4 linked regions of the Saccharomyces cerevisiae S288C genome follow. The protein of the gene in region 4 interacts with the protein of the main gene of each other region in a biochemical or structural test. Each region holds a gene or a part of one and is shown on either strand. Other genes may lie near its edges.

Region 1 (6,958 bases), on a different chromosome or scaffold from region 4:
TCGCTGGAGTAGGCTTCTGGACCTTCTTTGACGGTGTGCCAGAAGGTACCTGTTTTGAGAAAAAAGATAACAAACTCGATTGCTTCATTTTCTTTTGAGAAGATGTGGAGCCATTTTCGAAGTGTGCAGTCTTAGAAGTTTTAGGGGTAGCTGGGGCCATTTTGGAGTTCAAATTGGCTTTGTCAAAATTAACTAGTTGCTCCAATTAAAAAATCTTATCTGTTAGCAAAGAAGGCTCCAAGGAAAAGCTCTTATTAGTTTCAACAGATGTAATTTCAAATATTTTCTCTATATGGCGATGACCTATACATGAATTTATGAAAAAGTGAGACGCGTATCAGCTACTGCTCACGCGTTTATTTTCTCCGGGCAATGGTTGTTCAAAAAGCCAAACTTAACCAGAAGCCATTCATTATGTCACACATATAAAAATGCTTGCATACCATTAGTTGGAAATGGAGACTTTTCTGTTTCAATTTACACTAAATACATCTATTTATTTAAGATTGGAGAGCATGCTGCAAAAAATCAGGGTCTTCCTCCAAGGATTCCTTGATAATGTCTAAACCGCCTTGAAACTCCCCATTTATATAAAGTTGAGGGAAAGTTGGCCATTCAGAAAACTTTTTCAAGTTTTGTCTAACAGATTCGTCTCTTAATATATCAAAGAAGCCAAATCTTACTTGATGTTCTCTCAAGATACCCACAAGTTGTCTCGAAAACCCGCATTTAGGTTCAGAGGGGCTCCCCTTCATAAATAACATTACCGGCGCGGCATTGACCAATTTAGTCAATCTAGCGTTTATTTGCTCCTCAGTTTCTTCTTCCTCTTCTTCGTCGTCATCGTCTTCATCATTATGACTCCCCTCATTTACGTTTGCATTTTCCATAGTATGAGTTTGTGATGATCCGGAATTGACTGAGTTCTTGCAGTCTTCTAATAAAGACACATACTCCTTTGGATCCGCGCCGGATAATTCTTTTAAGATTGTCCCTTTGTGAATTATGATAAAATATGGAACAGCTGAGATTTCAAAAAGTTCTGAAATTTCCGAGTTTTCGTCCGCATCAATGGATAAGAAAGAGACGTTGGAATTGGAAGGCTCATTACTAATGGCCTCAAAAACCTGCTTTAATGCTTTGCATGGTTCTGCCCAACTGGTATGGAAATAAAGCACGATTAACTTGTCGCCGGCCGCAGTGGTAGTTAGGTAAGTAAATTGCTCTTGATCGTTAATTTCAATAACAGGCATTTCCTGAAAAAGTTTTGCTGCTGTGTAATATCTTGCTTGGTGGCGTTTATAACAGTACGAGGTGTAGTTAAAAGAAAATGCAGATGGAACCTGAAAAGAACACATTTAGTCTTTGAAATATATTTTAATGACCTCTTAGTTTGGCATCTCATGACCCGGCACACATTCTCTGAAAAAAAAAAAAAGTAACTGATGGTTCAACAGAGAAGCCACAGTTAAAAAAGGTCCTACCCGGATTCGAACCGGGGTTGTCCGGATCAAAACCGAAAGTGATAACCACTACACTATAGGACCGTAACAACTGTGTATTGTTGTATTACGGGCTCGAGTAATACCGCAGTGTCTTGACAATCCTAATATAAACAGTCTTAGGGAAGTAACCAGTTGTCAAAACAGTTTATCAGATTAATTCACGGAATGTCACTTATCTTATATATTATATAAAATATGAATCATACTAAGTGGTGGAAGCGCGGAATCTCGGATCTAAACTAATTGTTCAAGCATTTATACGTTTGGGTAGTTCAGCTAGGGAAGGCCGTGTTTTATCTCATGTTGTTCGTTTTGTTATTGAGATATATGTGGGTAATTAGATAATTGTTGGGATTCCATTGTTGATAAAGGCTATAATATTAGGTATACAGAATATACTAGAAGTTCTCCTCGAGGATTTAGGAATCCATAAAAGGGAATCTGCAATTCTACACAATTCTATAAATATTATTATCATCGTTTTATATGTTAATATTCATTGATCCTATTACATTATCAATCCTTGCGTTTCAGCTTCCACTAATTTAGATGACTATTTCTCATCATTTGCGTCATCTTCTAACACCGTATATGATAATATACTAGTAACGTAAATACTAGTTAGTAGATGATAGTTGATTTTTATTCCAACATACCACCCATAATGTAATAGATCTAATGAATCCATTTGTTTGTTAATAGTTTAAATGTTTTTATCGGAAGAGGTTTTGTCATCACATCAGCAATGTTCTTCTTGGTCTCGATGTAGTATACGTATAAATTATTACCTGATACTTCATCTCTAAGTCTCATTGCCTTTGTGCCAAAAAATCTGTTTCTAAATTTCTCTTCATTTGTAGACTTAATTATACTGATCGTTGATCTACTATCAGTAAGTGAGCCTTTAATAATTGGTTTCTTGTTAAGTTCTTGCACAAGGTGACTGAGGTTATTCAATAGCGGAATAGCTTCACTGACTGCGTGTATTTCTGCTTCTGTAGTTGAAGTGCATGTTAACGAAGCCTTTGTCGACTTTCCTCCAATCACTTTTCCGTTGAGTAGGAAAATGTTACCAATTTGTGACTTGTAATATGGTTGGTTACCATATGAAGCATCGCTTATTGCGACTAGTTTATTATCTGGCTTGGTAGGTTTGTTTTTGTGCCATATTAATTGTTTATCTCTAGTGTCCCACATGAATTGTATTAACTCATATGTCATGTCTAAAACTTGCCTAGAGGGGAATAGTATATGTTGAGCAAGTGTGTTGATGTAGTATAGTAAGTCAAATCTAAATTTATATCCAACATATGAAGCTAGACCAATCAACTTTTGCATTTCATGCACTTTCTCTTTGTATTCATCTTCATCTATTTCTAGTTCATCCTGGTCTATATAATGACCTGGTTGACCTGGAGCTCTAAGTTTCTTTCCTTTTGGGTTCAAAGGTACGTTTAGTTTGGGTAATTTTTCTGTCAAGGATTTTTCCATACCTAATTTCATGTACTTGCTTCTTTGATATTTGATCTCTAATCCAAGTATGTCGTACTGAATTTCGTTATCACCTTCACCCAGATTTATTATCTTTGTATCGTATTGTTTCTTGAGTGTTGTTATGATTTTCTTATTTGCATTTAAGTCTTTGCTGAACAATATCATATCATCAACGAATAAGCAAATTGTTACTTGACTATTCTTAAATACGCATGACCATCCACGAACTTCTTCCATACCACACTGTTTTATCAGGTATGATTTGATAGTTTCGTACCAGTTCGCTCCACTTTGTTTCAATCCATAAAGTGATTTCTTCAAACGTATCAACTTATCATTCATTCCTAAATGTGGTGGAGGTCTTATGTATAATTCTTCTTTGATGTCTGCATACAAATATGCCGAAGATATGTCTAATTGTGTAATATAGTAGTTATTGTCTAATGCAAGTGACAGGGATGTCATTAATGCATAGTGATGTACGGTATTGGATTGCATGCCTGAGTCGTAAGTGTCAGGATGCTGAATATCACCTCTTGCAACAAATCTAGCTTTATGAGTACCGTCACGTTTCCTGTTGAAGATAAACATTGAATTTATTACTCTTTTAGGGTCTATTTCTTTTCTGTCATAATATTTGTCAGTGTCCCAAGTATTCATTTTCAATAGTTGGTTGACTTCTTTGTGGTATGCTTCGATATATTTTTCCTTTTCTTTAATATCTTTATTATAGGTGATTGCCTCATCGTATCTTAAGGTTGTCCGTATTGGTTTGATTGATTTTACTGCTTTTACAGCTGCAATCAGGTGAATTCGTTTCTTCGATCTCGGAGGTTCTAAACTACGCATATTCTTAGTATTCCATGTGTCTCGTGATACCTTAATTTCAGTTTCATTATCTTCTAATGATCTTTTCTTACTGTTGATAGTAGTATAGGCATTAGAGTCACCAATACCACCCAAACTGGAATTAGTTTGATGAGAATTTATCGGTGGGAGTTCTTTAAATGGGTCAGGGAATTCGGTAGGAGATTCTGGAGGTAGATCAGGGAGTGGGAGATCAGCGATGATAGATTCCTCGGTATTCTGTTCAGAAACAGTAGTTGGCGTTTTGATAGGAACAATATTGTGCGATGAATTATTTTCCGGTGGAGAAGCATCGATTGAAGGTGAACGGTGTATAATCCTTTTCTCAGTCTCTTGGTCACTTATCTGCGGAACAGTTTTGTTGTTGGTACCACCCGTACTGGATATTGGTACGTTTGTATGATTAGTCTCATTTTCACTGTACGAGTCTGAGTGTCTGAAATCTTTAGATTTACTGGCGTGCGACGACTCATGTGTGTTAGATTGGGACATGGGAGCAAGTAAAGGAACATTTAATTTATGCATACCACCCGAACCGGTACTCTCGATATTGGAAATTTGGGGGGTGCTAGATCTCTTCTTTGATGGAAGAATATTAGATTCAGATATGTTGGGGTCAACTTCTCTGGGTGCGCGAATATTGGTTTTAGAAACACGTTTCGAATCTTCAGTATGAGTTGACGGAGGTGTGGAATCGGTTGGACTCACAGCTTTTGAAAGGACATTTCTCGGTTGCTCAGGATGTAGTTCAATGTCGGATTGGAAGTCATGGTCAGATTCTATGTTAAGATCATTGGATTCTTGGATCTCATTTGACGCAATGAACGAATGATATGAAGCAGTTAAACGGTTTAAGTCTTCATCGAAAGTGAGTGCGTCGTAATTGAATTGATCTAATCTGGATTCCTTGCCCTGAAGAATAACATAGTTAGTTGTATCTACTGTCTTCTTTAAGGATGGAAGATAGATGATATATCCATAAGAGTTTCGAGACGGATGTAGAGCGTAGCCTGGGATGCCACGAGGATGTATTTTGGAGTTAGGGTTGTGATCATTGACGATAACAGGTTGACCGAAAGGTAACAAAGTACTGATATCAAGTCCTGCCAAGCCAGCATGTTGTCTTGCAGATTTTTTGCTTTTAGGTGAAGCTAGTGAATTTCTCACAATAGTAGAAAATTCGATTGCAGAGAACCATAAATGGTTCGGTAAACCACTACATTGCAGTTGAGTACGGCAGTCATCTAATAAGGTACGGTTTAGCCGTTCAGCGACTCCATGTGCTCGGGAATCCGCTGTGGTTGTATAGCATGGAGTTATACCATTTTTTTCAAGGAATTTATGGAGAGTTCTGTTAGTATACTCAGAACCACGGTCCATTTGTATAACCAAGACACTGGCCTGAAACTGGTTTTTAATAAAAGCTAGTATCGTAGTAAAAACATCGAGGATAGAGTCCTCGCGACGGTCGTGTAATGGATAAACCCAACGGAATTTTGTTGTCTCATCAGTAAATGAGATGAAATAGGATGGTGCACTATTTGGTAGGTTGTGAACTGGACCAAATATGTCAGTATGTAGGTATTGAAAGGGTTCGTATGAATTTTGGTATTTTAGTCGTGAACCTTTGATATGTCTGTGTTTGGTGCTTTTGCCGATTAAACAATCAGGACATTGATAGTCAATAGCACTAGACCAGTCGACATCTGATTCGTTAAAATACGTGATGGTGTTATTTTTAAGTGAGTATCGAATTGTCTGTGCATTGGCATGCGCAAGCATTCGATGAATGAAAGGATAAGGATATTTGCGTGTACTTTCACTTGTATGGACATTATTGATGGTGGGTACGGAGATATTTGATGGAAGCAAGTACTTTTTAGATACCCAGTAAAAGTCTCCATATTTTACGATAGGTGCAAGTACAGTGCCGTCAGATCGTTCTAAGACGTTTTTGGTAAAGCATGCTGTGATATCTACTGCAGCCAATTCATTCAAACTGAGTAAGTCATAGGCTATGTTAGGAGTGTGCAATACCTTTATTGATGTTTTGGTGTTGTCCTGGAAGTGAAATTGTAGGTCACCAATAGCGTTAATTGGTATATTTCTTTTTTGAGCATCAACTACGTTTATGCCAGGATTAGATGATGCTGAGTGTATGTGGTGAGCAGATCTTATAAGGGTTCGTGATGCTCCTGAATCGAGAAGGAGGTGTCCAGGGAGTTCATCATCAGAATGATTAGTGTGATTTACCGTAGATTCAGTAAGTTCCTGGCCTAAGATGAAGGTCGTGCTTATTGTTCAATTGAATCGGTTCAGTAGTTGATTTACTGATGGAATCGTTGTCCGTGCTGGGAGAGTTATTAGATGTGGATACATTGTGAGCCCTGGCTGTTTTCGATTTCGAATTATTTGTTTTTTGAGGATTCCGAGCTATAACTTTGGGTTTGGTTGTATTCGTATAGCTGCGAGAATCATTCTTCTCATCACTCGGATTTCTCCTGTAATTAGGTTTGCTGTTTCTCGATCCCTGTTGTTCTTCATAAATAGCATGGATATCTAAGAACAGTTCAGCGACTGTCATATTTAGATGTCGATGACGTGTGTAGCGTAAAAATTTATATTCGCCAGATAGACCTCTCATAATTAATTGGCATGCGACCTTGTTATTGATATGAATGCCATTATTGTTCAGTCTGTCGATAATGTTTGTGACTTTTGTTTCAAATGCATCTGCAGGTGTACTGCCATTATATTGCAAATTTGCCAGGGTCACAATGTCGTTTGCCTCTTGGGTATCAGATTGCATTTTTTCAATACTTTTGGAAAGAATTTTCATGATATCCGTATAATCAACGGATAGGATGTCTTTGACCCAGGTAGGTAGGAATTGAGAGGGAGCAAATATTTGAAAAGTGTTATACAAGAAGGTGAGTTCATCATCAGTGATCTGACGTACGGGTTTTCCGTTTACTGTCGGAATAATACCACCGAGATTCGAGTTTTGTAAAAATTTGATGTATGTTTTAACCCAATTTGGAAAGTCATTAGGTGAGGTTAACATTGGTGGTGGTCTGACATATTTTTTAGTG
Region 2 (7,070 bases), on a different chromosome or scaffold from region 4:
TATCTCGAATTGAAGAGTCCCCCGGCCTTGGAAGAAATAATGATGGTCTAATCTTGTATAGGAAGCCTTATTGTTGTCTATATTCAAGAAACGACAGCACTTCATATCAATTAAAGTAACATTCCCTTTAGAGTCTATCAAAATATGGTCCAAAGTTAGATTCCTGTGTTCGAGCTGAAATTTGGATTCAGCAACATATAAAATACTGCTGCACTGCCAGAAAATAGACAATGCTTGAGAGTAATCAATGTTAGAGCACCTTGATAGAGGAGTTCCCTGGTATTTGAAAAATAAGTACAGTATCAAGTTTTGGTCATTTTCACATTGATTTGAGGGCACAACATAAGCTTGCAGTAAATTGGCGACACCGCTAGTTCCTTGTATTAACCGTAATGATTTCAATTCATGTAAGGATATCAAGTTTGAAGTAGTCAAATCACTTAGAGCCCCTAGACATACTTTCTTGCAAATGAGTGAAGTTTGCATATCGCTATGATAAGTTTGCCAAAAGTTATGAGACAGCTGAACCGATCTAGTATTCAACGTAAACAAGCCTAATGACTGAGCTTCACGTAGATCATGTAATATATACTTAACATCACAAAGTTGTAATATTTGTTGCAAAATTGAATCATTGTAGTCCAAAGTGTTTATGGGAGTGACTTCTGAAGATAAGGATGCCAATGATGTTGAATTTTTCAATTTCAGTTGAATCTTGTCCTTTGAGACTTGGTCTGGAACAGGCAATGATATTTGGCAAGTTTTTTTGATCGGATGATTCAGTTCTTGTGTATTTCCTTTACGCCTTACTTTGAGCTTATTTAGTGAAGAATGTGATGTTTTATGCTTCAAACTTCTAAAGGAAAGGTTCGATGATGAATGTTTGTGGTTTAGCTCCTTCGTGCTCTGATGATCGGGCATAATAAATCCAGAATTCCTCTTCTTCTCTGTGTGTTTGCCACCACCAAAAATAGAATTGTGAAAACTTGAAATTGAAGACTTCTTTTGTAACGAATTGGTTGGTTTTGGCTGAACAAAGTTCGGATCTTGGTCATTCACAGATCTGGAAGATAGCGACCTCGACAATAGGTTATCATTTTTCCAGAACTTCCACTTTGAAGAAGAGGTGGTAGAAGTAAAGGAATTAACTGAGTTCACACTGGATGAATGAACATGAGAACTTGTCTTCTCGTCACCCCAGCATTTGAAATCACTACCGCTCCGAAACTTAAGTGATCTAAAATCTTTAACAGGCTCATCCCTTGATAAAGTCGATTGGTTTGAAATAGGTCTCAAGGGTGTACGAAACTTGGAGTTAGTCACCTTTGTAAGACCTTGCTTCGACAACCTTTTAGATGGAGAGAGCAGCTTGTTTTCCGATAGCACCGACTGAGATACATTTTCTTTGTTTGAAGAGTGAGCGGTATCATTAATATTAATTTTATTGAAGAGTTGTTTGAGCGATGAACCTGTAGAAGATCTTTTACCATAGTAATCATCGTTTTCGATGGTTTTACCTACAGGCCTTGTTTTGGATGTTGGAGAATCTGAAGAAGTAAAAAAGGATTGACTCTCATCTTCTGCTGAACCCTTGTGCGAAGTGATTTTGTAAACTTTTCTTCCTACATCCACTGCGGGGCTTCCCATGGATGAAGAATTTAATGAGCTGTCGGCATCATCGCTTTCTGCTACTTCGAGAGCAAAATACCTTCTGTCAGTCATCTGTTGATCTGCTACCGCATCAAAATTCATTTTCTCAATACAAATAGCGCATGTATGTGTGTTTGGTGAAATGATTTTACTACAACTAAATATATTAATACCAATACGCTTTAAGTTATTGTTTACTATTTTCGCTTTTCGAGAAGAGAAGATGTTACAAAAAGTTTCGCGAATTGCTATCAAAACTGAAAAAAAAAAAAAACGTTAGGCGTATCACAAACGAGAATTTAAGGTGTAGCAAGATAGAAAAAGGCACCTCTTTCAAAGCAAGCAAATGAGCGATAGAGATCAGATAGAACCTGTCACAAATGCATTAGATGCAGAAAGTGATTCTAGTGATGATTTTGGGAATTTTTCAGATGCCTCAGTTGAAAATGACCTCTATAACCAGAATTCTACTTTAACGACGTCTTCCGAATCTGTAGTAGATAACTGCTTGAATAAGATACTACCAAAGGGAGAATTTGACCTGGAAGAAGAAACCATAAAGAATGACTGTTTCAAGCTGAGCAAACTTATTGAAGATGAACGACCCCATGTCATTTATGAACAACTCGTACAATTAGATCCTGTGTTACAGCCATTCATATGGAATAAATCTCATATACGCAGAAACTTGCTCCACATTTTGAGATTATCGGATAATAATGGCTCTGAGGGTGTTGGTACGAAGAGGGAGGAAGAACCGTTGAATGATGAGTTGTTCAAAAGGATATGCGATGCAGTGGAGAAAAATGAGCAAACGGCTACTGGTCTCTTCCTGAGGGATAATTTCAAAATTGACTATACACCACCAATGACTTTAAAATCTCTTCAAAAGGAAGAGGAGCGTGAGCAAGAGCAGCATATACCGCAATTGCTTATGGCAGATTTTACTAGTATGGATGAAGAATCTTTACGCCAATACCACGATACATTGTGTCAATCCATTGACTTTTTGGTTAGTAAATCAAGATCATTGAAGAAACAACAGCGAGACCTCCTAAAGGATAAGACAACTTTTGAAAATGTAGTGACGAATTTGACAGGACATACCCAAAGACTACAGCGAGACGAAATTGCATTGTATAACAAAAAGCGAAACAAAAAGAAAAGGTTCAGTTGGGTAGGATACTAATCGCCGTCTCGGCAAAGCAGGTTGAACGTTGAAGTTTGAAGAGAATAAAATGTTATTAGTAGCATAGGGGACCAGACCAAAAGTCGTAAAAGAGCAATATACTTTTTTATAAAACATACAATTATACAATTAGTCCCCCCCTCAAGAAATAAAAAGCCCCTGTGCGAGGGATATACATAAACATTGAGCATTAATATTTACAACTCCCAATGAGCAATAATGGGTTTATTACATAAATAGAACGGCGAAAGATTTAGTTTCTAGTATCTTCACCGTCAGTAAATGGCATCTACGCATCTCCTTCTTTCCCTTCTTCTTCTTCTTCCTCTTCTTCTTCTTCCTCTTCTTCTTCCTCTTCCTCTTCCCTGGCAGTATTTTCACCAATTCTCTTGTTTAAGACGGCCTGTGCGATTTTACTTGCTAATCCATTTTTTTCCTCCAAGATTTCGTTTTCTACCTCAAATTCGGAGGAAGAAGAAGGTGCAACGGATGTCGAAGCTAAGGAAGACTCTGACTTACGATGAAAAGTAGAAGAGAATAATGGAATGTTAGAGAGGGAATTGTCACTATTGACCAATGAGACGCCATCGGAATCTTGGTTATGGTGTTCATAGGCATCGTGGTTGTCACGTTGGCTGATGATAGGTGATGACGAATCTTTTTCTTGTCTTTTTATTTTCTGTTTTCTTAGCATTTTCCTGCGATTCAATTCTGAGGTTTTTCGATCTTCTTCCTCTTCATCGATGACGTCGAATTCTTCACGTAGGGCGGCACTATCGAAATCGGGGAATAATTCGCTTCCAAAGTTATTTACAACTTCGATTATTCTTTCTGCCAGATTTCTACGATCCTTTTGTAGCTTTTGCAAGCCCTTTGGAGATGTAAGAGATAAAACCAGTGGTCTCAAAGATTTGAAACCATCCATACCAATATCACCCACGATTAAGGCGGAATACGTGACTATAACACACGAGATGTAAGACCCGGAAAAAACATATATTTTATTCCATGGTTTATGTCTGAGGTAATAAGTGATTAAAACGGACCAAAAGATGTAAAGCAAGGGCGCAAATCCCATCCCAATCAAGATTTTCCACGTGGCAATGACATCGTTAGCCTTTATTTTAACTGTAGACTTGGACAAAGCGGTACGGGCCTTTTCTTGAGAAATTCTCTTGGCTAATATGAAGACAGGTGAGAACATAATGATACCTGGCATGGCTAACGAAAAGAGGATGCAGAGCCCGATGGATCTAAAAAAAACAAGTCCGAGGTTTTTTGCGAAATTTACCTTTGCCTCCTCCACAAGGTGATCAGGAAGATTATAGTGTCTCAAGGCGGCATTATATGCCATTATATCTTTGGTCAAGTCCGCTATTTTAGGATCGTTTCTATAGAATTCGTAACCTTTGACCATTCTTCTGTTCATTTCCACAATCAAGGGCAACGGTAACTTGGTGCTAAATTGTGTCATATATAGTCTTCTTATCGTTTGAACCACCATCAAAGTTTCATAATCAGAACATGTAACGGTAACGGATTGTAAACCCTTCGATATGGTATCTAATAATTCTTTCACTGCATCTCTGTTCGTTTCCGGGTTGTGGTACTTGGCGACTAGTTCCTTCGGTATTTCAATGGGGTCACCGAATTCAACAACCGCTCTCGACCTGAACTTATGTGGATGGAAATAATTCATACCGCAGGGAACAATCTTAACATTGACGTCAGGATGCTTATCCATGCAACCAAGAGCCATAATCGCCACACCTGCTTTCAGGGGCAACAAGTTTGTTCTGTCGTGGGACCCACCTTCAGGAAAGATCCCAATGCAGTTGTTATGGGCCAAATGCTCAAAAACTCTATGGTAAACGCAAGATTGGTCGACTTTAGCGGCATATTTATAAGTAGTGCCGGTGAGTAAAGCAGTTTTAATCTCTGGTTTGGCCATTTTGAACTCTTTTCTTAGGGTCAAACTCGTGTCACTTTCTATGGACTGGATTTCTCCAAATCCCATTGATTTGGGTAACCCGATGAGACCCTTTGGCATACAATCAGTCAAGAAATGCGTGTCGTGGCCGATAACTCTCTTGTAGTCTGTTGGATCTACGCGGATAGTACCTTCTGCCGGTTTCAAATTATCCTGCGGCCTTACCACGCCTATGGCCATGAAGAAACTAGCCAAAAACCCTATGGGGGGTTGCTTTAATGAGCTCTCCGCAATCAAGAAGGACACACGTCTGTTGACAGATTTCTTCACCTCGCCCATAAGGATTACAGGGTCGACGAACTGGTTAGCATGCGGAGCCGCAACAAAGATCACCGGTCCCTGTTGCGGTACCTTGAAACTGCCCCGGCCTCTGATTTCTCTAAAGAAGCAGTGGAAGATGTTGTACAACAGCCATGTGGCGATGGAGTAAAGTATCTTCTTGGTAGCGCTAGGCTCTTGGTAGATGTATGCCTGATCAGCCGACGTCTTGACGCTTTTGGCCTCGATGGAACTGTAATTCGTAGTTTTCTGTGTGCTCTTGGAAGAGGCAAATTTCTCCGTGAGTTTTGGTGCAGGCATTTTTTTTTACCCCGATGTAAACGCCCCTGTGCTCTTTTTACTATATATTTAATTCCGGGCTTCCTACACTTAATTCACTCTGTTATGAACTACAAGCCATTACTAACATCAATCTTTCCGAATCATAAATAAACTGCAACTGGGAAAGAAGGCGGGCCTACTTTTCTTTTTCTTCATAGCGCGTAGGGCTTGGCAGCCATAGTTGTTGAGAGACCGATGGATGAGGGATTGAAAGAAGGGAGAAGAAGAATACTAAAAGAGGAATGTAGAGCCGGGTTACAGGAAAACTAACTTTTCACTCAGGGCGCCGCATCTTTTCCGCAGGCGCGCCATGAACTGGCCAGCACGTTCTACGGCGAAACCTTCGAACTGGAGGCGGCTCACACATAGTAGTAAGTTGCCGCGACAGGTGACCAAAATACAGTCTTTAATATCATCATATTTGAACATGCCCGGTTTACTGCCATTATCTAGACGTGCGTCTCTCATCACTTTACACTCATGAAACAATATTCGTTTTAATACTGAATTTTGAGCGTCCTTTCTTGCCGCTGTCGCTTCTTTGAACGCGTGCAGAGGACCGAGCGTTTCGAGTTTGTTAAGTAGTTCGGCGGCAGAATCGCGCGCCCAATGAATGCGTTTATCTTCTGTTGTTATACGGTGGGCGTAACTGGGTTTGTAAGCTGTTGGCGCTTGCACACGGTTCTGTGGTAGATATAACCTCTCACGAAGCGTTTGGCCCAAAAGTTGGGCGCCAAGGGCGCCCAACTGGTCCATCAGTATGGCAGTCCTCCGAGGCAGGCCCTCAGAATTAAAATCTGCCGTCGAATCATTGACTCTCCCTTTTGACAGCATTGTTGCGATCGCCAGTGGCTCCGTCTGCGCTACAATTGCACCATGGTCAAACCGATCCGGATGCAGTGTCTGTATAGTTACACCGGTGTAAGTGTCACCCTCGAGCAGAGCTCGCTGGATAGGTGCACTGCCTTTATGTCTGGGAAGTAGCGAAGGATGGACGTTTAGCGCCAATGGCACCGCGCGGATCAAGTCACCCGGAATGAGCTTCCCAAAAGAAACCGCAATGATCGCGTTGAACGGAGCACCGGAGCCGTCGTTCTCCGGATTTCCTTGGCGACTGGGTGTCAGTTTGCTTAGCGCCAACATTTCCTGCTTGGTGTCGCATGTAATTGGGCGTGGCAATTGAAGCTTCTCTGCCATATCGAAGATCGGCGGGTATTTCAAAATAGACTTCTGTCTACCGCACCACTTCGGCGACCTAGTTACTACTTGAATATTGTCCACTATACCACAGCTTCCATTATTTTGACGCAACTCATTGAGTGCTTGCAATGAGAAATTACTGAAAGTGTCGCTACCAAAGAAAAGCACATTCAAGGGCTGCACTGGTGGAGAAGCATTGTTTGAAATATATCTGCATGTGAATAGGAGGCGTGTAGGTGTTATTCTTCTCATTTTAACCATTTGTTTGATACGCCGTTTTCAATCTTCTCACTATGAGGTGCCTAGGTCCCCTTCCTTTTTTTTCTTACCTCTCTTTTTACGTTAATGAGAAAAGCGCTTACTCCTCTCCATAATAGCAGGTACAGCTTTTTTTGCTTTTTTCTTAATGGACGCTTCTTCCATTTGATATAAATATGGGTT
Region 3 (7,284 bases), on a different chromosome or scaffold from region 4:
TCTATACCAGAGCTCTTTAGCGGTGCGTGTACTAAAAAGAAAAACAACGTATTACTGAAAAGTGAAACACCCAATTCAGAATTCTCTAGTAACTCACTTCAACATTGCAACTCAAGGTCGTTTTCTCTACCCAGGTCAAGATCAAGGTCTTCTGCCATTGCCATACCAACACATTTGTATGGCTTGGAAAAGTACGTTTCACCTGGGTTGGATACTTTGACTGCTGACCCAGAAGAAAGTATTGAAAGGTTTTCAAATAATCGGCCCCGTGAAATATCATCGTGTTGTCCGAACGATACAGGGGACACCTCCTCATCATTATCACATTCGAACACTTCCTCATCACTAAATTTCCCTTTAGGTACAAATACAAATCAATTCCACCAACCAAGGCAGCCAGTACAACAGCAACAGTCTTCGAAACCAAACTTTGGTGCTGGGAGGAAAAAATCTTTCATTGAGATGTCACTAGCAAGTTCCTTTGCAGGCTAACATTCTCGCCACCTTGGAATAACCGTATGATGTTCAACTTTGTTATTTATTTCCACATTCTGGATCGCCATCTGTTCGTTTTTATTAAATATAATATATACCCATTTGTATCTCCTGTTTGGTTTCCAAATTTCCATATACTTATCGCTGTCTATCATCTCCTCTCGAAGCATTTTTTTATATACTATATTATGAGAAATCTTTCTGAAAAATTATGAATTACTTTTTTCTGCTGATAGTACAACCCGCTATATACTGTTACAAGTAGTGAATAAAGAAGTAAAAAAAAAAAAACTTTCAAAGGAAAGAATATGAAGTGAACATTTTTTTCTACGATTAAGATCCCCCTGTTTCTTTTTTCTTTTTGAACCATCTTGTCAGCTTACGGGAATTTTGTTCTTTAGGAACATCTGCGTTAGGAGGTTTCCTCATTATCCTAGATAACTTTGTCGGGGAAAATCTATTCCCCAAGTTACCTTTACCTTGCGAGTTTGGAAGCGTCAAGTAATCATCCTTGGCTCCATTTTCCGATGATGTTCCATGTACCGATGTTTTGTTGCTACTCTTGGGATTCTCATCACTTACATCAATAGTCAAAAATTTACAGTAACTATCTCCAACTGTGTTATTGGATTTACTAGAGACACCTTTTGTGAAGAATTTCTGCAATCTTGCGGAAGAGTTTTCATTTGTTGGTTTATTTAGTAGTTTAAGAACAATTTCTTTTCCCTCCTTTATTTCTTCATAAAAAATTTTATGTGAGAGTGAAATGGAGTATTTTTTGTCTTCAAACAAAGTGCTGGAAGCACATTCATAACCTGACAACCGTTTTCTAATATGATTAATCCTATTATAGAGTAAACATGACTCTTGCTCCAATTCTTTCATTGCATGCTTTTCCTCTTCTGCTTTCGGGATTATAGAATTAAATTTGATGCCTGAATTAGCGCCATTATCCAAATCTCTGCTTCTGGAACCTACATCATCGCTTTTCAGTAGGTTCATTAAATCATCTCCGAAGATCTCCGTGTTGTTTTCAGTTATTTTCTCAAATTCTAACTCTCCAATTTCTGGCTTAACCTCAATTGGTGAATCCAAATCTTTTTTATCCACAGACAAATTTAGGCTGCTACCGCTTAACAGGCCCTCCTCTTCGATTAATTCTCCCTTCCCACCATTATCCATGTGATTGTATTTTTCCATCTTGGTCATATCTTCCTGACTGAAATTAACAATCAAGTTAACAAACTCAGTTTCTCTCAAATTCTTATCAAGCAGATAAGGAATCTGAGGCAAATCATCCAACATCGTTTGTTCAATGGCCAATTTGGGTCTCGAAATAGTAGAACTTAGGTTCAATATCTTTGAATTAAAATCTAGTTTCTTTTGCGTCATTTTATCAATGTAATCTAATAAGTCATTGTGTCTTTTATCGATAAAGTTATTCATCTTCATTAGCCAGGGCTCTTTGTTTGCAAACTGCGTCAAAGTGGACAGATTAAGTAAAACTTTACTTATTAGGGTAAGATTCCTTCTTGCTGTTTCGTTTAAATTTTGAGAAACATATTTGAATAGCTTAGGGTTTAATATGACTGGACAAAAAAACCTTAAAAACAATAATCCTGATATACCATTCAAAATTATTTGCAAAGTGTCATCGATACAAATTATCTCTAGTTTTTGCCTAAAGATTTTTAAAACATTTCTTATTTCAATCGGCAGGTCATTACTCGTTGCATACAGCCTTTTCCAAATCTTCGTAACCCAAGAATACAATCGTTTGTAGTTGTCGGCAATTATTTTCCTCTTTTTTACTTCATCTTTTTCTTTTACTCTAGCAGGATCCAATTCACATGATTTGTTTGACTCAATGATCTCTTTTAGTATTGCACTAAGCGCTTTACTCAAATATTCATTACCCACTCTGAAAAAGTACTGTTCAATCGACTTTGTTAAGATAGAGTTACCACGGAATAAACTGTTGAAAACATGCTTTGAGTCTAAATTTTTCTGGTTTATTCTTGAAACCGTTCCATCAATTTTAGCCAATTCTTTGTCTATAAGGACGTGGAACCATTCTTCTATTCTTGACAAAGATTGGAATATATCGAGAAAAATTATGGATGTTTGCGTCAATTTGTTATCATTCTCCATTGATGAAGAAGATTTGTAAATTAGATTGGAAACCATGGACAAGTTTGCGTTCATCAAAAGTTTTTCCAATTTAACGAAATTGGTTGACGGTAAAATGAAGTTCAAATTTGAAGAAATTTTAATACAGATTGTTCCTATTTGAAAATTTTTGTTATCAACGTCCATGATGGGTAGTCTTGTTTCCTTATTATATCTTGTATCATTTATTATTTCTTGTGTGATTTTTATTTTGCCTATCAATCGTAACCGTTTTTTATTATTGAGATCGTGGAATAACTGCTTGATTTCCAGATAAGAATTAGTAAGTCTTAAAAGTTCATTGAACTGAAACTCTTCTCTCCAAAATGGATTAGAGGAGTTTGAAACCATGGATGTTCTAGCCCATGTATGGCCCCAGGCCGTTATGTCTGTGAATATTGACCATGGCGTATTATTCTTGTCATTTAAATTGATTGACTGAAAATTAGCTTCCAGTATGGAAATTTTAAAGCTATTCGATATCTTCATATCATTTGATTTATCTGAGCCAGTAATAGATAAGTATTCCGACCTAGCGAACGATTGTAACGCTATAAAACAATCCTCCAGGTCTATTCTTAAGGGAAACTCTACAATAATTTCTTGAGAAATATCACTAGAGTTGGTGGCAGCACTGGCAATATTTTCTATGCGAAACTTTTCGAGGCCCAACTGGCTCCTTAGTAATGGCAATTCACCTAAAAACAAACTGTTTTCACTTTGTAAAACAGATGAATCCAGAATTCTTATCTCTGATCTTAAAAGCTGGCTAATATTCAATGAGTAAATCAGAGAGCCGTCACTCTGTAAAAGAAGATCTAGCATGCCGTTTGATTTAAGCACCCCCATAGCGGAAAACCAACCTACGCTGTTGTCATCATTATTAATTATATCAGGGCTTTCTAAAATATTTGTTGCTGGCGGAAGGACGATGTTCTTAACGATGGGCCCAAAAACATTCAATTTGTAAACCAGCAAACTTTCTGGTTTCGCCATTTTTTTGCTTTTAAATTCTAGAGGTCGCGATACTTGAAACTTATTAAATATACCATTTGTCTTCATTGAGCTCCACCAGATCAGACATGTTAGCAATTTCTTGAAATCACTCCAACTTTTAACTCGCAGGTAAACTTTATTATCTTTACCTGAGGTGTTTACTTGGATTATAAAATTACAATTTGCATTAATATCCTTAAAAGAGGAATGCTTATCCTTAATAATCTCGATTCTACATTGCTGTAGATGTTTGATAATTGGCTGAATATTAGTAGAGTCTGCTGTTAACTCATCGATTGAGTGGGTTAGTGCACCTGTACTGGTAATTTGCAGATAGTGTGTCTTCCAGTCGTTTAAGGACAGGTTATTACACCACTGAATCTCACCCTTAAAGGTATTCTTGTAATGCTTAACGTTGGACAAAAATTCATTCAATTTGAAATATGATGTTCGACTTTGGGCCGGTTCATTGTTGGAGCTCATAATATGATACAATCAAAGATAAACACCACGACGTATGCACGGATAAAGTTTTCAGTCTGACCGAGTAGTTATTCCTACTATTTTGTTGTTTCTTCCTCCGTTTTCATAAATGGCGTTTGTTTGGATACCTTTCTTTTTTATCGAACAGAACGCGTTCAAGAATGAAAGTCATTAATTATTATTAGATACAGAGATATACATATTATAGAGTATGCATGCTATATTCACGGAAAGCTACGACGAAGGCCTGTATCATAGTTAGCTGGTAACAGTAAATTTACCAAAAATGTTGGGAATTTCACCTTCTGGTCCGATGTATCTAGGGTCTCTCCAGGGACCAATATCGGAATAGTAGAACTTATCATTAGGGTTGTGCAAGACAGATGTACCACCATATTTAACAGGCAAGTTCTCGATTGGAATTTGTTTTAATAATTCCTTTTTATAAGAAGAGCCAAGAATAAAGATTTTTGACACGGTTACTGGATCCAAGAAGGGTTTAACCATCTTGAACATCGTCGAGAAACCAAATGGACTGTGTATAATATAAAACTTACCCATTCTTTCAGGATAATAATTTTGACTGATATCTGCAACATCTTTAATATAGGAAAGCACATGATAAGCATTAGAAAGTGAGATACCCTTCAAGTCCAGCACAGTGCACGAAGTTTCAATAAGGTAGCCAGCTCTTCTCGAACACGCTGGGACCCGGTACGTGGCAAATAATTCGTACTCCTTGACTAAGTTTCTTAGCATCTGTTTTTCGGTAGTGATCTTGTACATTTTCTTTAAGTTAATTCCTCCTAGTTCTTCGAAGTACAATGGTCTCCCATCCTTATCAACGTGATGGTAATACTGAGGGTACATTTTGGCCAATTTGATTCTTTCTTTGTCTTCGGCTTCCTTGTTGTTTTCATAATCCTCGATAATAGTGTTGGCACCGTATTCTTCCCTCCATCGTTCAGTTTCTACAAACATCTCAACGCTAGCATTGATATCAAATTTCCTTGCCCGTAGAAATCGCAATAGCGTAGAATCATCCAGCCTTTCTTTGTAATTCTTTTCTAACAAGATTGACCTAAATTGCAAAAGCGCTTCCTCTTGCTCCTTAGTCAAATTGCCGGGAGTACCTGGCAAAGCATTGGGGGAGCATATTTGAGGATAAGTATCGAGTATGCTGGTTGTCATTCTTCCTTTCCAGTTTTAACAGTGCGCAAATGTATTGCTTTTCAGATTTATTTCCCCGTTATACAAGTTCAAGGAAATGTTTGAGTAGAGAGAATCACGATCTAAATAATAATCCGAAGAATTTAAAAAGGAGTAAATAGGGGCATACAAGAGGGGGAATTTCAGAAGTGCCTGTTATGTAAAAAAGATATGATAACACATAATGGATTGCATACCAGTAAATTTCCATATGTACTATGCCGACCTCTTTTCATGTAAACGCCTTGCAAATTCATACTTAATGATTACAAGAAAGTAATATGTAAATTTTAAGCTCAGGTTCAAGGTTTATAAGGGCCTTCGTCTCTGATAGAAGAATCAAGTTGGTAAATCCAAATGGAAGTACGGGTCCCAATAGCAGGTTTGATTTTTGAAGGTGACTCGAGATATATCAGCTGCCGCCCCTGAATCAGCAGTAATTATAACTGAAGAGAACGGACAATGTTTTACGTATAATTAAGGCACATAAATTCCATCTGGAGTGTTCTGAAGTCGCTTACTTGGTGAGATATTGAGGTGTCATCAGATAGGACAATAGTAGGAGAAAGGACCATCTGGAGGTTAATCACCTGTTGTCTTACTATCCGGTCCTCAGGGTCCATAAAAAAATACTTTCAACAAAATCTGGATGCATTGAAAAGGTTGTTTTCAAACAGTCTGCAGTTTGTAATTCACCCACATGCCTTTTTTTGTATTCATATTAGCTTTTCTTGCATAATTAGGGACATATAAATCGTGCACACATGGATATTTCTTCATAATATTATAGTCTGATTGATATTCAAAATTTGAAACATTTCCATAAATAATGGATAGGGGACAGCCAAAAAAAAACTGTTGTGCTCGATCCTGAATGGAAAAGACTGACACTATAAGGAGACTTATTCTAGATATCGTAGAACAAACATATGTTACTTTAACGTCGCTGGACACTCACAGACAAGCCTCAGGGGAGACGTTTGAAACCGTAGAGGAATACGTATGAAATATAAATCAACAAACATACGTACTGAATTATGTATCAGGATATATTGCTTTCACAGTTTGGAAATTGCCTCTATCACCAAGATATTCACTGTTAAAAAAAAAAATGCGAAAAAATTCAAATTTCAACAGCGATATTCGCCTTCAGTATATCAATATAAAGCAATTATGACACCTCATTTATCGTGCATATAAGATCATGCAATGAGTATGGATAACAATGATGACCATGAATCTAAATTGTCAATCTTGATGGACATGTTTCCAGCTATTTCCAAATCCAAATTACAAGTACATTTACTTGAAAACAATAATGATTTGGATTTAACGATAGGCTTGCTGTTAAAAGAAAACGACGATAAGTCTACAGTTGATAATGAATTACATCAACTGTACGACATGTTTCCTCAGCTTGATTGCAGCGTTATAAAAGATCAGTTTGTAATAAATGAGAAGTCCGTAGAATCGACTATTTCTGATCTTCTGAATTATGAAACCCTGCAAAAACTTAAAGACAATCAAGCAAATTCTCCTGATAGCGTAAAAAGGAACGAAAAGAAAAATAATTGGGAATCAACAAACGATCACATAGAGAGTATAATAAAGTTTACCGACGCTCCCAAAAATATTGCGCAGGAATACTTAGCCGAAAATGGTTTTGATACAGTAAAGGCGATCATCAAAATCATTTTGGATTATTACGACAAAAGGGATTTTAAAAAAGATGTGGATACTTTCAAAGTAAAACGGAGTCCTAATACGACTGTGAGAGGTGGTCGAGTTCAATCATCGACGGGGCTTGCCCACGTTTTGAAAAAGGGTAAAGAATCCGCAAATGTTGCTCAAGAGAGTCTCAAAAGGCCAAGGAGTTATAAGCACTCCTTGGATAGTCCGCAGATGGTTGAGTTAAATGAATTAGTTGCAGAT
Region 4 (9,808 bases):
AGAGTTTTGTTAGTGTACTCGGAGCCACGATCCATCTGGATAACTAGAACGCGAGCATTGAATTGGTTCTTAATAAATGCTAATATCGATGTAAAAACATTGAGGATAGATTCTTCACGACGGTCGTGTAATGGGTACACCCATTGGAATCTGGTTTTCTCATCTGTAAACGATATAAAGTAAGAAGGTGCACTTTTCGGTAAGTGATGTACAGGACCAAATATATCGGTATGCAAGTACTGAAAAGGCTCATATGATTCTTGGTACTTTAGTCGTGATCCTTTGACATGTCTATGTTTCGTGCTTTTGCCGATTAGACAGTCAGGACATTGATATGTGCTAGCGTTAGACCATTCAATATCCGATTCCTTCAAATATGTAACTGCATTCTTCTTAAGAGACTTCTGAATACTTCGGAAGTTAGCATGTCCAAGCATTCGATGTATTAACGGATATGGATATTTATTTACGCTTTTGCTTTTGTTGACGTTGTTTATTGTTAGCTTTGAAATGTGCGAAGGAATTAGGTATTTTTTAGATAACCAGTAAAAGTCTCCATGTTTGACTATGGGAGCTAGGACTGTACCATCCGATCTTTCTAAAGTGTTTCTGGTAAAGCAGGCAGTAATATTTTGATTAGCCAGCTCACTCAAACTTAATAGATCATAGGCTATGTTTGGTGTGTGTAGTGCTTTTATTGATGTTTTGGTGCCGTTCTGAAAGTTGAAGTGAAGATTACCAATGGCATTTATAGGAATGTCTTGTTTTTGAGCATCGACTATGTTTATTTCAGAATTGGGTGTTGCATGGTGTAAATAATGGGCTGATCTGACAAGCGTTTGCGAAGCTCCTGAATCAATAAGAAGGTGATCAGGTAGTTCGTCATTCGAGTCTATTGTGTGTGTTGGCTTAGATTCTTTCTGTTGCTGGCCTAAGACTAAGTTCGTTGTCATCGCTTAAGTATTGTGATGAAACGGTTGATTCATTAATGTGATCATTGTTCACCCTTGAGAATTTACTAGATGTAGCAATATTGTGAGCTTTTGCTGCTCTTGGTTTTGAACTATTTGTTCTCTGATAATTACGAGTTGTAACCTTTGTGTTAGTCGTGTTTGGAGATGTGCGAGAAACATTTTTGTATTCGCTGTGTTGTTTGTATTGGGACGGTTTATTTAGATTCATGATTTTATTTTCGTCATATATTAACTGAATTTCAGCGAATAATTGGGAAAGTTTCATGTTCGTTTTGGTACGATATTGATTACGTAGGTATTTGAAGTCACCGGATAGACCTTTAAGTATTAGTTGACAGGCCAATCTGTCGCTAACATTGATATTGTTTTCTTTTAGCCTCTGAATGATCGTACTGACTGTAATTTCAAATGTATCAGCAGATGTACTTCCGTCGTACTCAAGGTTGGCAAGAGCTATCCAATCCTTTAATTCTTGATTGTTAGTTTGCATTTTGGACACACTTTTACAAAGGACTGTAAGGATGTCAGCATAATTAATTTCTAAAATTTGTTTTACCCATGTTGGCAATAAATGAAATGGGGCAAATGCTTGGAAGGTATTGTATATATACGCATGTTCTTCATAAGTCATTTGTCTTTTGATTTCACCCTGGTCATTTGGAATGATGTCACCGAGATTAGAGTTCTTCAAAAATCTGATGTAAAATTTAACCCATGTAGAAAAGTTTTCTTCTGATGTTAAAGTGTGTGGTGGTAAGACGTTATTTCTCACCTTTGTCTCAGCTTGAGGTACTTCAGAGTGTTGATTCTGTGAATCGATTGGATCAGGTGAGGAAGTACTCAGTGGTGGGATATACTGTGGCAACGGATAGTGTGGGTCCGGTTGATAATACGCAGGTGACGTTTGATAATGTGAACACGTCATCATAGACGGTTGTTGGTAATGTGCCCAGTTAGAGGCCATAGCTTTGTTTGGGGTCATCATGCCGTGCTGTTGGTACTGTCCATTCTGTGGAGGTGGTACTGAAGCAGGTTGAGGAGAGACATGATGATGGTTCTCTGGAACAGCTGATGTCCCAGGTGTTGTCTCTTGTTGAGAATTAACCTTAGTGGAATCTCTATCAAATTCCGGTAAATTGGAAGCTGAAACGGCTAACGGATCTTGATTTGATGGGACTTCCTTAGAAGTAACCGAAGCATAGGCGCTACCATGAAGAGAACGTGGATTTTGATGTAATTGTTGGGATTCCATTTTTTATAAGGCAATAATATTAGGTATGTAGATATACTAGAAGTTCTCCTCGAGGATTTAGGAATCCATAAAAGGGAATCTGCAATTCTACACAATTCTATAAATATTATTATCATCATTTTATATGTTAATATTCATTGATCCTATTACATTATCAATCCTTGCGTTTCAGCTTCCACTAATTTAGATGACTATTTCTCATCATTTGCGTCATCTTCTAACACCGTATATGATAATATACTAGTAACGTAAATACTAGTTAGTAGATGATAGTTGATTTTTATTCCAACAGATTTATTTGAGAACATTCATGATTAGAGGTCAAGAGGGCTGTAATAATGAAGATTATACATGGATCTTTTTGAGGAACTGGCGGACAATTTGATAATTGTTAGAATTCCATTGTCGTTAGAAGCTATAATATTATGTATACAGACTATATTATAAATTCTCCTCGAGGATTTAGGAATCCATATGAAAAGAACGTGGATTTTGATGTAATTGTTGGGATTCCATTTTTTATAAGGCAATAATATTAGGTATGTAGATATACTAGAAGTTCTCCTCGAGGATTTAGGAATCCATAAAAGGGAATCTGCAATTCTATACAATTCTATAAATATTATTATCATCATTTTATATGTTAATATTCATTGATCCTATTACATTATCAATCCTTGCGTTTCAGCTTCCACTAATTTAGATGACTATTTCTCATCATTTGCGTCATCTTCTAACACCGTATATGATAATATACTAGTAACGTAAATACTAGTTAGTAGATGATAGTTGATTTTTATTCCAACACCATAAAAGGGAATCTGCAATTCTACACAATTCTATAAATATTATTATCATCATTTTATATGTTAATATTCATTGATCCTATTACATTATCAATCCTTGTGTTTCAGCTTCCACTAATTTAGATGACTATTTCTCATCATTTGCGTCATCTTCTAACACCGTATATGATAATATACTAGTAACGTAAATACTAGTTAGTAGATGATAGTTGATTTTTATTCCAACAATAATATATAGTAGTAACCTGAAAAATAGTCAATGCCCGTGGTTCATTTGCCAATAGAACAGTCGATGTGATCAATGTACACGAAAGTCAATATAAAATATCCAAATAGCCAATGGTGTCAGGACGGCTAAGGCAAATGCAACTTTGAAATACTTATTCGGTTTGCATCTTGGCAAGCCGGCCCAGATACTCTTTACCCGTTCAGTAAATAAGAAAACCCTTTGCTTGAGACTTAACGGTACGTATAAAGTACTCTGTCTGTATAATCTTTGCTTTGTCGGTGCCAGTCTGAAGGTGGTTTGCGATTCACTTTCGATGGGCAATTTGTGGGTATATTTTTCGCAAAGTAAATGAACAGAGTCACTTGAGTGGTTGGATTCCAAATCAAAAAAGGACATGTCAGACGTTATAACCGGACTGCGCAGTTCTTCGGCATCGGTTAGAACCATTTAAAAATATTAATTTCACGTACCTTGCTTTATTTTACTGTTCTTCTGGGTGCTTGAAAGGTATTTATGCCCTTAAATTCTTTCCATTTCACTTCTCAGGGATTCAAGGAAATCCCGAATAACTTTGACAAGTCAAATATTTGCCGTGAGTCGCATAATCGAATACCACATAGGGTTTTTGTGGTTCTCGAGCATGGAGGGAAACCGTCACGCATTCTTGGCATTTTTTCAAAGGGTCCAAAAAGTAAGGGCTAAAACAATAGCCGCCAAACTGTTCCTTTTCATTTCTGTGGGAAAGAGAGAAGCAAGAAAATTTCTTGGAGTGAATTCCAACTTGATAAATGGGAGAGCTATGTGAGTGTTGTCTGCACTATGCTAGGAGTTCCGATCGAGAATATGTGAATCCACAAAAGGGAATTGAGGTTATTATGTAGAAATGCTAATTCCATTTTGAGGATTCCTATATGCTCGAGGAGAACCTCTAGCATATTCTGTATACCTAATATTATTAGCCTTTATCAACAATGGAATCCCAACAACTATCTCAAAATTCACCCATTTCTCAAGTAACATGAATAGTACTTGAGAAATGGGTGAATGTTGAGATAATTGTTGGGATTCCATTGTTGATAAAGGCTATAATATTAGGTATACAGAATATACTAGAAGTTCTCCTCGAGGATATAGGAATCCTCAAAATGGAATCTATATTTCTACATACTAATATTACGATTATTCCTCATTCCGTTTTATATGTTTATATTCATTGATCCTATTACATTATCAATCCTTGCGTTTCAGCTTCCACTAATTTAGATGACTATTTCTCATCATTTGCGTCATCTTCTAACACCGTATATGATAATATACTAGTAATGTAAATACTAGTTAGTAGATGATAGTTGATTTCTATTCCAACAGTACTAAAGAGGAAATATTTTAGGGTTCCATTCCAACAATTTACGTGTTTTTTCAGAATAATTAATTTAAATTGCAGATTTTATTGGAACAGTTGAGTTGAGTTTTTATGATGTTTTTATACACCATTAGTTCATCTTTTTATTAAATAATTTTAATAATTTGTTATCCGATATAGTGTAACGGCTATCACATCACGCTTTCACCGTGGAGACCGGGGTTCGACTCCCCGTATCGGAGTTTTTTTTTTCTGCTATTACAATTAAAGATTTTTTCAACTATATCTGAGATTGTTGACCGGTCCAAATATTTAATAAATTACCATTTTATTTTTTTCAAAAAATAGTTACATATATACATTTATTAATTATATAACGGTGTTACATCGTATTGTCCATTTGGGGATCGATTATCCCTCCCTTTTTTTTATTTGTCCAAAACACCTTCTTTTTGTAAAATAATTTGGATTTCTGTAGCAAGCTTGGTCAGCGTTTTAGTAGATCCTGTTTTCTTATTGAATTTAATTAAACTTCTACCGTCTCCATTTGGTAAAACCATTATTTCAAAAAGCGTAGATCGTAAAAATAAAATACTGTCATTCACCAATTTTCCTGTTATGATCATATTAGTGATGTTAAACACCAGGTTTTTCAACCCGTATTGCTTCCAGCCTTCTAGTAGTTTATGTAGGCCCTCGTATAGTCTCTTTTCAGGTATTTTGGCATGTATTTCAAGTTCTAAGATTTTACCTTTTGAGAATTTTTTCAAGAGTACGCTGTTAGGTGGCTTTTTTACTGTAGTAGGGGCATTCACTGTGTCGTTATCTTTCTTGTCATTATCTTCCTTCAAGTCATCGTCTGACAGGGAAGCAGCGATTTTCTCACTCTCAGTCCCTTTTTCCGCCCCATCCTCTATGTTTTCTCCGACGCTGCTGTTATTACTTGTAAGGCTCGGTAAGGTTACCTTAGAAGGCTCTCTTTGGTATAGGCCCAACCCACTGGCGTTTTTTCCTTGGAAAGAACTCAAAGACGGAAGTTTCACTACCAGTGTGGGCTCTGCGCTTTTTGATATTGGAGATTGGTTTGGATTTTTATCCTTCATGTCGTATTCCTGTGATATGCCAACGCCTTGAGGAAAGTCGCTCAATATATTATCATTATTCACATTATCACCATCCTTACTATCATCCTCATCATATTGTATATTCCTTGAATCAGTGATACTCTCGGCTATTTCGGGATCTTCGCTCCTACTTTCGTTATCAGTGCTTCCTTGTGGAGGCAAATCAGGATCTTCCTTTATTAAAAATTCGTTTAAGTCTTTGATTGAATCCTTCGCATACAAAGATAAGACTGAGCGCCGATTATTAGCAGTAGTAAAGTGTTTTGATTTCCTCGTGAAATGTGGGACTTCCACATCGGATATCCTACGAGGTTCCATTCGATCATTATATATTAGTGGTGTGGTTGAAACTATGGGAGACTCTTCGATAGGTGCCAGTTCACTTTTCCCTGGCGATAGTCCCCCTCTAACATTTAGTAGCGATCCTAAAAATTTGGATCTGCGTATCGTTTCTATTATTTTCTTTTCAGTATCCTGCAGCAGAGCTGTTTTTTCTTTTAGGTTGTTAGGAAGTGTCTCAGTAACAGGCGTTAATCCGGGATCCAGTCTCGAAATAGGCCTAGTATATGACGAAAGTTGATAACGATTCGTTAGTAAGGTGTCTATATCTTGCAATAGTTCTTGTTGCGAAAATTCGTAATTTATCAACGGGGACGACACTTTGTCATTTATTTTTTTCAGCTCTTTCATTCCATCAGAAACTTCGGATCCAAACTCGTCCTCATTAATCTTCTGTGCATTCACTGATTGCCTTTTTGCTTCCTGAACTTTTCTTTGAAGTTCAGCCTTTTCTCTTTTCGCCAATTCAAATTTCTCAGGCTCAAATATTTCATCAATCAGTGTAGCGAAGTTGGAACTTGTTCTCTTTGCATCCTTTTCAATGTACTCCCAATCATCATCATCTATTAGGTTAGTAAAGTTTGATAATGATTTTGATGTTAGTGAGCTTCTTTTTGTATTAGGCATATAAGATAATCTTTTGCTTGACCGTTTTTTTGAGTTCCTCTTGTGAGGATTCGGGACACCACTTGGCGTTGCTTGGGTATTTGCAGACGCTACGTTAATATGTGTAATTCTTTTACTACTTCTCAAAGGTATTGGAGAACTATCGGTAGGATTCGAGGACAGTAAAAAGGACGATCTCTTCCTGCTAGAAGAGAATTCCCTGGAATGCCTCTTGGATGTACGTCTGCGTGGCGTAGATTGTATGCTTCGGTTGTTCAATAATAATGATGACGATGACGAAAGTGTGCTAGATCTTTTATTTTTTTTGGTTTTCTTTATCTTATTGCGGTTCTTCTTATTCGATCCCCTTACAGAGTCCAGTTTGAAACGGTATAGTAGCGCATATAGAATTTTTTCTTTGTTGGTTCCATTCTCTTTCAGTTTAGATACGATGTCATCGGCGTGTCTACCATGCCAAAGTACCACCAAGTTTTGTAGGATTGAATCATCGATAGAGGCGCTAGTATGGTTGTTCGAGTCAGCCAGTGGATATAGATAGGTATTTTCACGAGGTAAATCTTTGATACTTTTGGAATCCTTAATGGTTTGATATTTTTTTAGCAGTGGATGACTAAGGATGTCTCTGATTTTTATTCTTTGCCTGGGATCTACAACGAGAATCTTGCCGATTAAATCTTGTGCATCTCTGGAAATTTCGGTGTCATTGGGCATTTCAAACTGGCCCTTTTGGACTTTCAATAACAAATCCCTAACATTACCGTTTTCTTCATCGAAGGGTAGTCTACCCGTTAAAAGGGCAAAGAGGATTACACCGCAAGACCAAACGTCGCTGGCAAATCCTTCATAGGGCAGACCTGATACGATCTCAGGAGCGGCATAATGAGGAGACCCACAAGAAGTTTCTAGCAGGTCGGCGTCTGTCTGTAAAGCTGCCATACCAAAATCCGCAATTTTGATATTATAGAAACTATCGAGCAAAAGATTTTCTGGCTTTAAATCCCGATGTACTATTCCTAGCGCATGGCAGTATGAAATGCCTATAATTATCTGTCTGAAGCAATTGATGGCCTCACGCTCGGGCAAGGGACCGTGGTCCACAAGCAAGTTGAACAGTTCTCCCTTTTCGGCGTATTCCAGGATAAGGTACAGGTTATTGTTGGTTTCCCAAACGTCGTAAAGACTCAGAACGTTTGGGTGGCTCAAAAGTTTCATAATAACAATCTCACGCTCGATGTTGTATGGCAGCACTGAATCGTCGTTACTGTGGTTTCCGTTGTTGTTGAAAATGGACTTTGAGATTACTTTGACGGCTGTTCTATGGCCCGTGCGCTCATGTTGCGCAAGTTGGACCTTGCCGGTGCTACCAAAGCCCAGTGTTTCACCAAGCTTCCATGGGCCTATAGTACTCGATGGTTTAGCAGCAGAATGGGTCTCGGTATTCGCCACAGTCATACTGCAGTAGTTCTGGTAATTTACGTCAGCACTATTATCAAGCCTATACACGTTTATTGCACACTCTATTATGCTATTCTACGCTGTTGTATCCAAATTTACATCTTCTTTTTTAGTTTTCATGTAGTTTTCAAGAGAGCCCTTTTACTAAGACTGCGTTACGCGTTTTCTTGCACAGCACGCGAAAAAAAGAACGAGATGTTTTCCTTTTAAGGAAAACATATTAGCATAAATCGTCATTGCTGAAAGAGCGCCTTTACCTCAACCTACCATGGCAAACATAACAGAAAACATAAAAAAATTATCCTAGAGCCCAATGTTCCATGAAAAGAGCTGTGGCAAGGACAGAAACAAAAAAAAAATCAAGAACTCAACATTACCTATATAATTTTTGTTTTCTCCCATTTTCAAAGTCATTTGTTTTCCATTTTGCAAAGCAATTATTATATCAATAAGCCTTTTGATGACTTTACCTAGCACTCTTTCAAATAGAATCTTCTTACGAAGGTGTGCATTCTCCCTTTTATACCTCGGCGGCTTCACTCGGCGGCTAACCCCTTATTTCCTCATTTCCTCGGCGGCTAAAAAGGGACTTTGGAGAAATCTTGCATCCGTGCCTCCCACGGCATTTTTTTTTGGTTTCTTTTTTTCCTTGACCGGCATAATAGAAGAAAAAAAAAAGCGCGCCGTTCTTCAGTGCCGCTTGAGGGTGCCGTCTAAGCGGCACTGATCTGCTGCAAAAAGCTGCAACTTTGCCGTTGATGGCACTCCCAGTGGCACCATCGCACTAAATAACGGTCTCATCGAGTCATAGATAAGCAGGTTGCAGTATCCGGCCAACTTTCAACTCCCCCACGTCCAGCGGATTGCTGCTCCTTAGTAGTCCACAGTTCTTAAGTTGCGCTGCGAGGCTCTTTTTTTAGTGCCTTCTAGCCATTTCTTCCAGCTTGGCAGTGGTTATCTCTTTCACTGAACCGCAAATCAATCCTGATAAGACGGCTAAGATGCATAGGATAGGTCGGCTATACGTGTGTCTTGCGCTATCTTCCCCTCGTCCGCTAACAAGACTCATATCCTTCGTGATTAGTTTCTTTTTGTTATTTTCCTCGTAATACTCATTTGTTTTACATACATATATAAGTGCTTTGTCTTTGATGGTCTGCCCACAACAATGTAGAACAAGTTTATTATGTAATCTTTATAGAAGAAGCACGCTAATATAGACAAAGATAGCTTCGCACAATGTCGTCGTCGAAGTCTCTATACGAACTGAAAGACTTGAAAAATAGCTCCACAGAAATACATGCCACGGGGCAGGATAATGAAATTGAATATTTCGAAACAGGCTCCAATGACCGTCCATCCTCACAACCTCATTTAGGTTACGAACAGCATAACACTTCTGCCGTGCGTAGGTTTTTCGACTCCTTTAAAAGAGCGGATCAGGGTCCACAGGATGAAGTAGAAGCAACACAAATGAACGATCTTACGTCGGCTATCTCACCTTCTTCTAGACAGGCTCAAGAACTAGAAAAAAATGAAAGTTCGGACAACATAGGCGCTAATACAGGTCATAAGTCGGACTCGCTGAAGAAAACCATTCAGCCTAGACATGTTCTGATGATTGCGTTGGGTACGGGTA

Evidence for each region.
Region 1: the proteins of KCC4 (region 4) and GRX3 form a complex in vitro, tested with the Saccharomyces cerevisiae proteins (one large-scale study listed by BioGRID).
Region 2: the proteins of KCC4 (region 4) and SCT1 form a complex in vitro, tested with the Saccharomyces cerevisiae proteins (one large-scale study listed by BioGRID).
Region 3: the proteins of KCC4 (region 4) and YKL091C form a complex in vitro, tested with the Saccharomyces cerevisiae proteins (one large-scale study listed by BioGRID).

What each region holds. Positions count from the first base shown.
Region 1 is NC_001136.10:643,678-650,635, forward strand, and holds GRX3 (monothiol glutaredoxin GRX3), read right to left. Parts: upstream 1,254-6,958; coding exon 501-1,253; downstream 1-500. Other genes in the region: mismatch repair ATPase MSH6, read right to left, coding at 1-160; YDR098C-A (gag protein), read right to left, coding at 6,127-6,958.
Region 2 is NC_001134.8:201,876-208,945, reverse strand, and holds SCT1 (bifunctional glycerol-3-phosphate/glycerone-phosphate O-acyltransferase SCT1), read right to left. Parts: upstream 5,409-7,070; coding exon 3,129-5,408; downstream 1-3,128. Other genes in the region: protein kinase ALK2, read right to left, coding at 1-1,752; LAA2 (Laa2p), read left to right, coding at 1,997-2,839; FMT1 (methionyl-tRNA formyltransferase), read right to left, coding at 5,685-6,890. UniProt on the Saccharomyces cerevisiae protein: Dual substrate-specific glycerol-3-phosphate/dihydroxyacetone phosphate sn-1 acyltransferase, catalyzing the first and committed reaction in the de novo synthesis of glycerophospholipids and triacylglycerols (TAGs).
Region 3 is NC_001143.9:265,317-272,600, forward strand, and holds YKL091C (phosphatidylinositol/phosphatidylcholine-binding protein), read right to left. Parts: upstream 5,335-7,284; coding exon 4,402-5,334; downstream 1-4,401. Other genes in the region: MBR1 (Mbr1p), read left to right, coding at 1-492; GTPase-activating protein BUD2, read right to left, coding at 829-4,143; CUE2 (Cue2p), read left to right, coding at 6,562-7,284.
Region 4 is NC_001135.5:77,520-87,327, reverse strand, and holds KCC4 (serine/threonine protein kinase), read right to left. Parts: upstream 8,167-9,808; coding exon 5,053-8,166; downstream 1-5,052. Other genes in the region: YCL020W (gag protein), read right to left, coding at 910-2,226; YCL021W-A (uncharacterized protein), read right to left, coding at 3,331-3,708; amino acid transporter AGP1, read left to right, coding at 9,409-9,808. UniProt on the Saccharomyces cerevisiae protein: Involved in regulation of bud growth during cell cycle and in septin organization. Plays a role in cell wall synthesis.